3 linked regions of the Macaca fascicularis genome follow. The protein of the gene in region 1 purifies or fractionates together with the protein of each later gene. This does not show direct contact. Links are inferred from orthologs where the notes say so. Each region holds a gene or a part of one and is shown in the gene's direction. Other genes may lie near its edges.

Region 1 (3,648 bases):
TCAGGAGTTTGAGACCAGCTTGGCCAACATGGTGAAACCCTGTCTCTACTAAGAATACAAAAATTAACTGGGCATGGTGGCGCACGCCACTCGGGAGCCTGAGGCAAGAGAATCGTTGGAACCCAGGAGGCAGAAGCTGCAGTGAGCCGAGATTGCGCCACTGCACTCCAGCCTGGGCGGCAAAGCAAGACTCTTGTCTCGAAAAGATATATATGTATATATATAGAGAGAGAGAGAGAGAACAGTGTTAATGTTAACTTGACATTTCTTGGTACTGGAGCCTTAAGTTTTTGTTGTTGTTGTTTTGTTTTGTTTTGTTTTAAGAGACAGAGCCTCCCTCTGTCCCCCAGGCTGAAGTGCAGTGGTATAACCTTGGTTTACTGCACCCTCAACTTCCTAGGCTCAAATGATTCCCCTACCTCATCCACCCCAGGGACTACGTGGGACCACAGGCCTGCACCACCAAACCTAGCTGATGGTTTATTTATTTTTAACGTTTTGTAGAGATGGGATCTGACTATGTTGCCCAAGCTGGTCTCTAAGTCTTGGTCTCAAGAGATCCACCGGCCTTGGCCTCCCAAAGTGATGGAGCATGAGCCACTGTGCCCAGCCTCCCTTAAGTTCTTAAGAGCTCACCCTCATCCTGTCCTGTTCTCTCTTCATCAGATTCTCCCCTCACAAACACTTCCATGTTTCATTCCCAGCCCTTGTATCCCCAAGACTGTTTGCTTTACCTTTTGAGATCCCACGTAGCTCACAAGAGCCCTGACAGAACATCTTTCATTCATTCCTCCCAATACTGTTTCCAGCCTCCTTGCTCTGACTTTGCAGCCCTCGCCAGCCTGGCCCTGCCTTCCATTTGACTTCCAGTGTCAGTATCAATTCCCATCAGCAGAAACAAAGGAGCTGCGGCACTCAGCCTTGTTTATCCAGTTTTATTCTGTGTGGTGAAGACGTGGCTGCCTCCTAAAGGCGAGCTCGCAGAGGCGAGGCTGCTTTCTCCATTCTGCTCTCCAACGTGAGATTCGTGCCTACCTCAGATTACAGTCATTACAGCTCATTGAATCATACCAGGCCGTATTTGTGGCGTTGCCATCTCTGTGTGTGCTATATGTCTTTTTTACTTGCTGGGCACATGGTAAGTTATGCAGTGGTCTATCGTGGCTGCTCGCTGAAGGCCCCCATCACATTCCAGATCAGGATTTTTTGGTGTAGCCCGAGTTATGGACAGAAACCACAGAGACTTAATCTGTTTGCTGTTTCATCCCCAGGCTGTTTCTTGTAAAATCCTGATATGTCAAAGCTCATTTGGTCCAACCTCCTCAATCTATAGAAGAATAGCCAAGGTCCACCTGGGTTGACTAAATGTCCATGTTCATGTGGTGACTTGCAGGCCAGCCAGGTCTTTTTACTCTCAAGTCAGGTCTGACTGTATCTCAGACATCTTCGTGAGTATTGGAGATACTATGAGAAAGAAATCAGTTCTGCCTTTGGTTTAAGATTGATTGACACCAGGTACTGTGACACATGCCTCTATTCCCAGATACTTGGGAGGCTAAGGTAGGAGGATCACTTAAGCCAGGAGTTTGTGTCTAGCTTGGGCAACATAGATTGATTGAATATAAATATGAACTGATAGAGTTTGTTTAACCTCCATTACCAAAGTCCTGGTTAAACCCTGCAAGATGAGAACAAGATAGGTTCTACGTACATGCTTCTTAGAACCTGGCACTGTGCAGTTTTCCAGTTTTCCACTTAAAGGTTTACCCTTGATTCAGATTTCAAATTGAGTCTTTTGAGACCAAGGAGATTTTTTCCTATATAATTTTATTTTGTAAGAATAGAGAAGCACCCTAAGATGGGCCTTAGAGCAAACAAGTTTCTTATCAGTGATGGCGCTCAATAAAAACTTCAAGGAACTTCAGGTACTTGTAGATATCTTCCATAAATGTAAAATTAATTAGTTGATTAAAAACCTAGTTCAAAATTCAAAAGCTATAAAAAGGCATATGGAAGGAAATGGCCTAGTCACCCACTTTTTCTCCCTGCTGACCTGCAGTTTCTTTTCCATTTTGTTACATAAATGATAGCTTTCTTTGACACTTCTCAGCAGTGTACCTTGCTTTGCTTTTTGTCCCTAGTTAACTTGAAATTCTTTAATATCAGTATGTGAAGAGCTTCCTTCTTATGGCTAAATAGAATTTCATTGTATGGATTTACTAGTTTGCTGAATACATTTTAATAAGCCCCCTAGACCTTGAACTCTTTCCCTCTGGAGCAGACCTTGGGGCAAGGATGTGGGAGCATGTAGTTTATTTGGGAGGTGATTCTAGGAAGGAGGAAATAAGGAGGAACTTAGGGGGGACTATTGTTTGCTTCTCAGCGTCATAAGGGTTAAGAGAAACAACATCTTAACTAGCACAGGGCTGGGCTTGTGAGACACATGGAGTGAACATTAGTTCCTTACCCTCTTTGGGGGTTAGACTTAAGTCTGATTAGACATATGATGAAATCATGTGTTCCTGATAGTAATTTATTCGTAAAGTAATTCCTAATGGTGGCCTAGAAAAGGGGCTTGGTGTCCCGTGAGGCAGAAGTGGAGGCAAATAGAATGGAAGAGACAGCCTCCCAGTCCCTTGAGCCTTCTAGAGAAGCAGATGACAGGGGAGAGGAATAGCTCAGCACCCTATGCTCCTCACTCCAACACACACGCCTGGTTTCTATCTTCTCTGCAGCCTTGGGGAGCAGTACTACAAAGATGCCATGGAGCAGTGCCACAATTACAACGCTCGCCTCTGTGCTGAGCGCAGCGTGCGCCTGCCTTTCTTGGACTCACAGACCGGAGTAGCCCAGAGCAATTGTTACATCTGGATGGAAAAGCGACACCGGGGTCCAGGTGAGGGTCCAGACTTGGGAGAAGGGGACTCAGGAGCATAAGGAGGAAGAAGCCTCCTCATCTTAGGTGATGAGACAGTTGATAGGGTTTTCCCTACTGCCTTCCACCTATGGATGAATATGGTCTTCCTGTGGTTAGAAACGCAGGGAGGATGAAGCAGATAGGTTGATACCAGCATCTTTGTTTTCTACCCTGCTGAGGCCATTGTGTGTCTGGAGAACTATGTATTAGCCAAGGCCCCTAAGCTTATATATCTATTTTTCTTTTCCACAGACTGTTCCATCTAACCCCCTAGGCCCTCACTGTCAGAATTCCTCCCTTGCTCTAGAACTCAAAAGGGGGAGACTACGTAATTAGAAAGTGTTTGGTATTATTTTCTAATACTGGGTTAGGGCCTGACTTCTATCTTTCTTCCTGCCGTAGGATTGGCCTCTGGACAGCTGTACTCCTACCCTGCCCGGCGCTGGCGGAAAAAGCGGCGAGCCCATCCGCCTGAGGATCCACGACTTTCCTTCCCATCTATTAAGCCAGGTAAGGCACATACTTCCTGCGCAGAGGCGTGGCCTGCTGCATGGTTAGAGCCTGCTAATCACTACGATATACCAGGCCCAGTACTAGATCCCAAATATACTCAAGTGAATATGATGTGATTCTTTCCTTTAAAGAGCTTAGTCTAGAAGGGGAGACAGGTAAACAGATAAGTTATGGTGCCAAGTGAACTAGGGTGTCTTAATTCCTGGGCATCCGGGGAA
Region 2 (3,648 bases), on another chromosome or scaffold:
CCACATTTGGGGCAGGGCAAAGCATGCTCACTGGAGCCCTGGATTCCTCATCTGGGGTTCAGGGGATTGATCCAGGCCTACCTGATCCTGTTGCAAGCAGGGAGTTAGGGAGGCTCAGAGTTCTGGACTGTTTTTTGTTTGTTTTTCCTAACTCCTGAGTTGTTTTTGTTTTTTGTTTTTTGAAGGGGGAGGAGTTGCTAGCACCTATAAGCCCAGGTATGGAGCTTAGCAAAGCTCAGCTAGAATTTGAACTGTTAGCAGCCTTCCCCTGGGGTCCTGAGTGAGCTGGGGGCTCTGGGCCCGGGAAGCCTGGAGCAGATGTCTAGGTGGAGCCTATTCCAGGCCCTGCCTGTGCAGCCTTGTCTTAGGACTTCCTGTTACCAGAGCACCTGCCCAGGAGGGATGGGTGGTGCTGCAGGTTCTGTGAACGCTGCAGCGGGAAGCTTCCTGGGGACCATAGGGCCCTCGCTCACACTCTGCAGGACCCAGTGCTTCAGTTCTTCCCTTTGTCTCAGGCACTAGGAAAAACTAAAGTCTGGGATGTCTGGGCCCGGGCTTACAGCTGTAGTCACACTCAGTTTTTTTCTATAATCTCAGGCCAGAGAAAGAACAATCCTTAAGGCAGAGAAAGAGGTTGTCTTTTGCCTTTCAACAGCTCTGATTAATCTCTTCCTGATGGAGAGAGACTTTGGCAGGACTCCCAAAGCCCCAGAGCCCCCCACTTTGAGGTTTTTATTCTCCCAAACACCTCCCTCCCACCCTGCTCCTCCTCTCCCCATCCTCACGTCTGTGGGTCATGTTTCTTTCCATCTCTGCATCTGGTCAAGAATCTGACCCTCTGTTTTGGGAACATGGGTTTAGTGCAGGATGAAGAGGTTGGGGAAGAATCTCATCTCCATGATGCTGGAGTGGGGGAGGGTCCTTTGATTTGGTACAAGTCTCCACCCTGCCGGGCTTGGTTGGCTGGTTGTGCTCGTTGCATAATCTGGGCCCTGGGGCCAGCCCTGTGAAGCTGCCAGGGACAGTGTGTGCGAGGCAGAGCTGCCAAACAGGCCTTGCAGGCAGCAGCCATGGGGAGGGGGGTGGGGGTGGAGGTGACTCCCAGATGGGCTCCACAGAAATGTCGGGGAGCAAGGCTTCAAGTGGGAAATCCTTCTGCAGGCATCTAAAGAAGCTATTTCTATCTTCCACTTTCCTGCTGCTCAGCCTAGGCCTCTGATCCTTGCCTCCCAGGATAATCTTAGCCCCCTTCTTCAGCTTGGGATTGCCAGGGCTACACGGAGCCAGAGCCAGTCCTGGCTGCCAGGTGGTGCCTGGACCACGGGCAGAGTCCAGGTGCCAGCTGCTGTCTTTCCCACAGGCCACCCAGGAGCCATGGCTTCCCTTCTGGGGTCTTTTGGCATAGGGGCAGTAGTTGGGCAGTAAGGAGGTGAGAGGAGGGTCCAGTTCTGGGCTGTGGGTAGGGGCTATATGGTACCAGAGTACAGGGGACAGGGTCCCGGTACCCTGTCCGAGGCCGCCCTCACCAGCTGGTACGCGTTCCAAGTCATCCTGTTGTAGCCCTGCTCACCTGGGGTGCTGCTGCCTACCAGACCCCTTTCTCCCTCGGCCACAGAGGATGGGGATTGGGGCTCTGCACCATTGGCCTGCTCATGATATAGTATACCCCTCTGCCTGGCAGTGACACTGCCCCCGTGCCTCTCAGCCATGCTTCTCCCTCATGATGGGGGAAAGAGGAGGGCAAGGCTTGGCGGGACTGTCTGAGAGAATAGGGACTGGGTGGGGCTCCTGTAGGCCCTTCCCTCTGCAGGCAGGACCCTCCTCCCAGCCCAGGCTCTGGCAGACCTCATTCGCTGGCATGGCTGCCAGGGTGGTTGCAGGGGGCAGGGCAGGTATGGTTTACCCTCTTCGCTCCGACGCCCGCTCTCCTTTGTTCCTGGGGCTCCAGCAGGGCTCTGGCGTGGTGCTCAGGCCCAACCTGGCTGACGAGAGGGATGGAGGGCATAGGCTATGGGCCCTGGAGGGCCCTGCCCCTGACCTATGCACCCCCGTTGGCTCACTTCCCCCAGCGACCTGGCATGTCACCAGGGAACCGGATGCCCATGGCCGGCTTGCAGGTGGGACCCCCTGCTGGCTCCCCATTTGGTGCAGCAGCTCCGCTTCGACCTGGCATGCCACCCACCATGATGGATCCATTCCGAAAACGCCTGCTTGTGCCCCAGGCGCAGCCTCCCATGCCTGCCCAGCGCCGGGGGTAAGAGCATCCTGCTTATTCCACTCTGCCTCACTCATCTCTGGTGGTAGCAGAGGGTTTCCTTCTATCTTAAGAGCTTTGGTGTCTGAGGAAGATTCCAGGCTCTCTTGGGAGAGAGGGTCCTGGAGACTGGAGGGACGTTGCGGGGGTGAGTGTCCTTTTTTGGACCATTGATCTCTTAAGTGGGTTTCTGAACTCCCCAGGTTAAAGAGGAGGAAGATGGCAGATAAAGTTCTACCTCAGCGAGTAAGTGTTAAGAGGACGCCTGGGAGGCCTGCCCAGTGGCCACCTCGGGGTGGGCATCCGTCTCCCTCAACCCTGGGCTGCAGGAAGGGAGGAAAGAGCCAGGCTTTGGCTGAAGCAAGCTGATGAGCTTCTGCTACCTTCCTCCAGATCCGGGAGCTTGTCCCAGAGTCTCAGGCATACATGGATCTCTTGGCTTTTGAGCGGAAGCTGGACCAGACCATTGCTCGCAAGCGGATGGAGATCCAGGAGGCCATTAAAAAGCCTCTGACAGTATGTGTGACCTTGACCACCTCTAGCCTTCCCAGGTTTCCTTGCCCTCCACCCCCTTGTTTTCCAGGGGCCAAGCAAGTTGGGCTAGAGCTGGGTTTTTCACATGCAGGATGCAGCCCACTAGTAGAGTACGAACTCAGTTGAATGTGTTAGGGCCAGTATGTTTTAAATTAATATATGACAGTAGAAAATCTAAAAATACTTCACAGTAGTACTTACCATAGTAGTTAAGGTATTCTTTCATGATATTTTTGTTTCCGATAAATAGATATGCAGACCTTGGGTCATAACTGAAAAATGTAAATATTATGGGTCGTGGTCTCAAAAGTTTGAAAACCACTAGAGGATAAAGGTAGTTCCTTTCTCCTTCCCCTTCCCCATCCATAGAGAATATTTTCTTTTTTCTTTTTGAGATGGAGTCTCGCTCTTTCACTCAGGCTGGAGTGCAGTGGTACAATCTCGGCTCACTGCAACCTTCACATCCCAGGTTCAAGCAATTCTCCTTGCCTCAGCCTCCCGAGTAACTAGCATTACAGACGCCCATCACCACGCCTGGCTAATTTTTGTATTTTTAGTATCACCATGGTGCCCAGGCTGGTCTCGAACTCCTGACTGCCTCGGCCTCCCAAAGTGCTAAGATGACAGAGCCACTGCACCCAGCCGAGAAACTTTCCTTAATAATAATCTAGAACCGTCCTGAGTGGGGAAGGCTTTCCAGGAGACTAGGATATTTTGGGGCCGTGATGGGTGTTTGGGTATCATGTAAGATGTGAGCCAGAGGCCTCCGCGTTGCCATTGCACCAGTTCCACTGTGCTGGCGTTGTTGGTGATGCATCTCTTTCCCCATAAAATGGTGAGTTCCGGCCGGGTGTGGCGGC
Region 3 (3,648 bases), on another chromosome or scaffold:
ATGGTTTGCTTAACTTGCCTCATTTCCCTTGGGCAAATGAGGTGGGTAAAACTGACCCTGTATGTGTTCTAGGCTGCTTCTTCAGGGTTCTGTTGTTACCGTGACTGGTTTAATACCTGCAGCTGCCTACTTTGCCTATCTCTCCTAAGAGATATTCAGAAAATATTTTTTGAGTTTTTTCTCATTGTGTTGGGGTTCCTTTTTCATAGGATTTTGTCTTGGGAAGTTTCTTCTGGCCTTTCGTAACATGATTTTTCTTTTCTCTCCTCTAGTCAGCCTTGTCCAAATATGATGCCACTAAACAAAAGAGGAAGTTCTCTTCCTTTTTTAAGTCCTTGGTGATTGAACTGGACAAAGACCTGTATGGGCCCGACAACCATCTGGTAGAAGTGAGTAGTTCTGCCTTCTAGGCTTTGACTCTGATTAGAGGATGATGGACTTGGGAGCCATGTTTTAATGTCTAAGGAGAGGGGGAGGTATAAAGTGGTCACTCTAGGTGTACACAGTACCACTCCAGGTGTACAGTTTGCACGTTGACCTCTAGATGGCACTAGCATGTTTAGTTAGGACCAAGGGCTCTTGTAATCTAACTTGTCCCATCTTTTTAATGTTACTATCCTGGTCACTGCCACCTCTTTCAAGGGAAAGTCTACTGGTGGCCTCTCGTACGTGCCATGCCATCTCTGCATCTTGCTTGTTAATAATGGTGAGATGTAGTTACCCATGCACCAATCATACTTTTTCCTGGTAGCAGTTGCTGTAATTAGAGGGATTGACTGATAGGGTACCAGTACTTGCCAAGGTTACCATTACAGATCTGGGACTTCCTCTTGGTCTGTGCTCCATTTACATTTACATTCCAATTCAGCAAAAATCCTTTATTATGATGCCTGATTGCACACCATTTTGAAGCCCATGTTAGCAACAGTATTCTTTGGGATACAGGCAAAACCAGAATGACAGTCCAGCCAGCACGCCAAGTGAACTTAACCTGCTCCTTTCTTTGCCAGTGTAGCTGCAGCCCCTTAACCTCAACTACTAAGAGACATGGGAAGGTCTTTACCATCTAATAAGGGAAGTAAGTCATAGAATCAATAGAAACTTGTAAATATATTAATTTAATTTTATAGCAGTAGAGTATAGTGGCTAAGAATGTGGACTATAGAATCAAACACACCAGAGCTCAAATGGTGGCTCCGCCACTTATTGGCTGTTTGACCTAGGCAAGTTACTCTATTCTGCTGAGCATCGTTTTCTCACCTGTAAAATAAGTATAATTGTGCCTATCTTGTATAGATGTTTGGGAAGTGAGATAATCCAGGCAAATGTCTTAGAATACTCTCACACGTAGTTAAGTACTCAGTAAATGATAGCTATGTTATGTTACTGTTCACATGTGTATTATCCATTTTGTGGATAGAATTATCACTGGACATTCAGGCTTATTTAAATGCAACCACAAACAGAATTAAAAGGTTAATCTACTTATACACAGACAGTAATCCCAGAGCCATATGCAGTTTTTTAAAATGCCTCATGCTATTGCTCTTCTCCAGTAGCCTCAGTAATCAAAGTTGAATATTCAGTCATTACAGAAGCTCTTCCCTCCCACCCCAGCTCTTCCTCTGGGAGAGCACCCCCTGACATCTTCCTCTCTGTAGTGGCACAGGACCGCCACTACCCAGGAGACCGATGGCTTTCAGGTGAAGCGGCCGGGAGATGTGAATGTACGGTGTACTGTCCTACTGATGCTGGATTACCAGGTATTCTGTGGTGGTGTGAGGGGGTCCAGCTTTTACAGCCATATCCTGTCAGCGAGCTCACTTTAAAGGGTTTATGTCTAGTTGTGAATAATTTGCCACTTTGTCACAGAGATAGAGTCTTAGTCATCTCTGAGTTCTTCCTAGAATGTTTCTGTCCCAGAAAAAGCACTACATTGTTGTTGAATAGTTTGAATGTATTGCTGCATATAGACCCAGCTAACTAGCTTCATCCCCTATACCCTTTGGTTCCCTGCAGCCTCCCCAGTTTAAATTAGACCCCCGCCTAGCTCGGCTCTTGGGCATCCACACCCAGACTCGTCCAGTGATCATCCAAGCACTGTGGCAATATATTAAGACACATAAGCTCCAGGACCCTCATGAGCGGGAGTTTGTCATCTGTGACAAGTACCTGCAGCAGGTAAGTAATGGACCCATTCTTTTGCTAGAATCCATTAGAACACTAGCTACACTCAAAATGCTAAGCTCGTGCTTCTCTCCTTTGCCACAGATCTTTGAGTCTCAACGTATGAAGTTTTCAGAGATCCCGCAGCGGCTCCATGCCTTGCTTATGCCACCAGAACCTATTATCATTAATCATGTCATCAGGTAGGCCTGTGTGTGGGAGGCAGTGCTGTGCCGGAGCTGCCTTGTACCAGTTTGCACAAGCTAGTTGTCAAATTTTCAGGAATTTTGCAAATAGGTTGTTAAACACAGCTGTTACTTTACAATTAAATTACATAAACTTATAATTAAATATATTAGTCTAAAAGTGGGTAACATATACTCAAAATGTATTACTTTCTCATTATTACATTTTATTGTATTTGTGCTCTTGAGGTTATTTTTGCCTGTTGTATACATCTGGTGGAAATATGATATAATGATATGATGTGCTTATATGTTATTGTGCATCTCTTCTCATGAACAGTAATGTAATGTTGGTAGCTTGAAATCAGAATTTTTTTTTTTTTTTTGAGATGAAGTTTCATTCTTGTTACCTATGCTGGAGTGCAGTGGCGCAATCTTGGCTCACCGCAACCTCTGCTTACTGGGTTCAAGTGATTCTTCTGCTGCAGCCTCCCACATAGCTGGGATTACAGGCATGTGTCACCATGCCTGGCTAATTTTGTATTTTTAGTAGAGATGGGGTTTCTTCATGTTGGTCAGGCTGGTGTTGAACTCCTGACCTCGGGTGATCCGCCCGCCTTGGCCTCCCAAAGTGCTGGGATTACAGGCCTGAGCCGCTGTGCCCAGCCTTTTGTTTTGTTTTGTTTTGAGATGGAGTTTCGCTCTTGTTGCCCAGGCTGGTGTGCAGTGTCATGATCTCGGCTCACTGAAACCTCCACCTCCCGAGTTCAAGCGATTCTTCTACCGCAGCCTCCCATGTAGCTGGGATTACGGGCACCTGCCACCATGCCCAGCTAATTTTTTTATGTTTTTAGTAGTGATGGGATTTCACGATGTTTGCCAGGCTGATGTCAAACTCCTGACCTCAGGTGATCTGCCCGCCTTGGCCTCCCAAAGTGCTGGGATTACAGGTGTCAGCCACTGAGCCCGGCCGAAATCAGATTATTTAAAGCCCAAAGATCAGCAAATGCACGTATCTGGGCACTTCCTCCTGCTCTCCTTTGGAAGATCAGTTGTTAAACATTTACCAGCTCTTCACTGATGGAAGAGCTCAGTGGCCATCTTTTCTCTGGATGGTACAGCATTCTATTCTGAGCCTCCAATTCCATTACTTCTATTCACTTTTTTGTTTAGAGGATGGAGAGCAAGGCATCTCTAGGCAGATAGGAAGTGAAGAAAATTCCTTCTCAAAGAAGCATGGCTCTGTAGTTGGATATAGTCTCTTTGCCTTTCTTCCTTTATTCCATATTAATTCCAG

Evidence for each region.
Region 2: the proteins of DPF2 (region 1) and SMARCD2 purify together in Homo sapiens (affinity purification with mass spectrometry; 6 studies listed by BioGRID and IntAct, counting the BioPlex papers as one, with this or other methods). This does not show direct contact. The link is inferred for Macaca fascicularis from reciprocal best matches to the Homo sapiens genes DPF2 and SMARCD2.
Region 3: the proteins of DPF2 (region 1) and SMARCD1 purify together in Homo sapiens (affinity purification with mass spectrometry; 9 studies listed by BioGRID and IntAct, counting the BioPlex papers as one, with this or other methods). This does not show direct contact. The link is inferred for Macaca fascicularis from reciprocal best matches to the Homo sapiens genes DPF2 and SMARCD1.

What each region holds. Positions count from the first base shown.
Region 1 is NC_088388.1:9,036,060-9,039,707, reverse strand, and holds part of DPF2 (zinc finger protein ubi-d4), read left to right. Parts: intron 1-2,735; coding exon 2,736-2,896; intron 2,897-3,319; coding exon 3,320-3,427; intron 3,428-3,648. UniProt on the Homo sapiens protein: Plays an active role in transcriptional regulation by binding modified histones H3 and H4. Is a negative regulator of myeloid differentiation of hematopoietic progenitor cells. Might also have a role in the development and maturation of lymphoid cells.
Region 2 is NC_088390.1:70,343,012-70,346,659, reverse strand, and holds part of SMARCD2 (SWI/SNF-related matrix-associated actin-dependent regulator of chromatin subfamily D member 2), read left to right. Parts: intron 1-1,023; exon of another isoform or gene 1,024-1,070; coding exon of another isoform or gene 1,071-1,142; intron 1,143-2,069; coding exon 2,070-2,254; intron 2,255-2,457; coding exon 2,458-2,500; intron 2,501-2,647; coding exon 2,648-2,770; intron 2,771-3,648. UniProt on the Homo sapiens protein: Involved in transcriptional activation and repression of select genes by chromatin remodeling (alteration of DNA-nucleosome topology).
Region 3 is NC_088385.1:56,919,152-56,922,799, forward strand, and holds part of SMARCD1 (SWI/SNF-related matrix-associated actin-dependent regulator of chromatin subfamily D member 1), read left to right. Parts: intron 1-272; coding exon 273-389; intron 390-1,617; exon of another isoform or gene 1,618-1,661; coding exon 1,662-1,763; intron 1,764-2,019; coding exon 2,020-2,181; intron 2,182-2,271; coding exon 2,272-2,369; intron 2,370-3,648. UniProt on the Homo sapiens protein: Involved in transcriptional activation and repression of select genes by chromatin remodeling (alteration of DNA-nucleosome topology).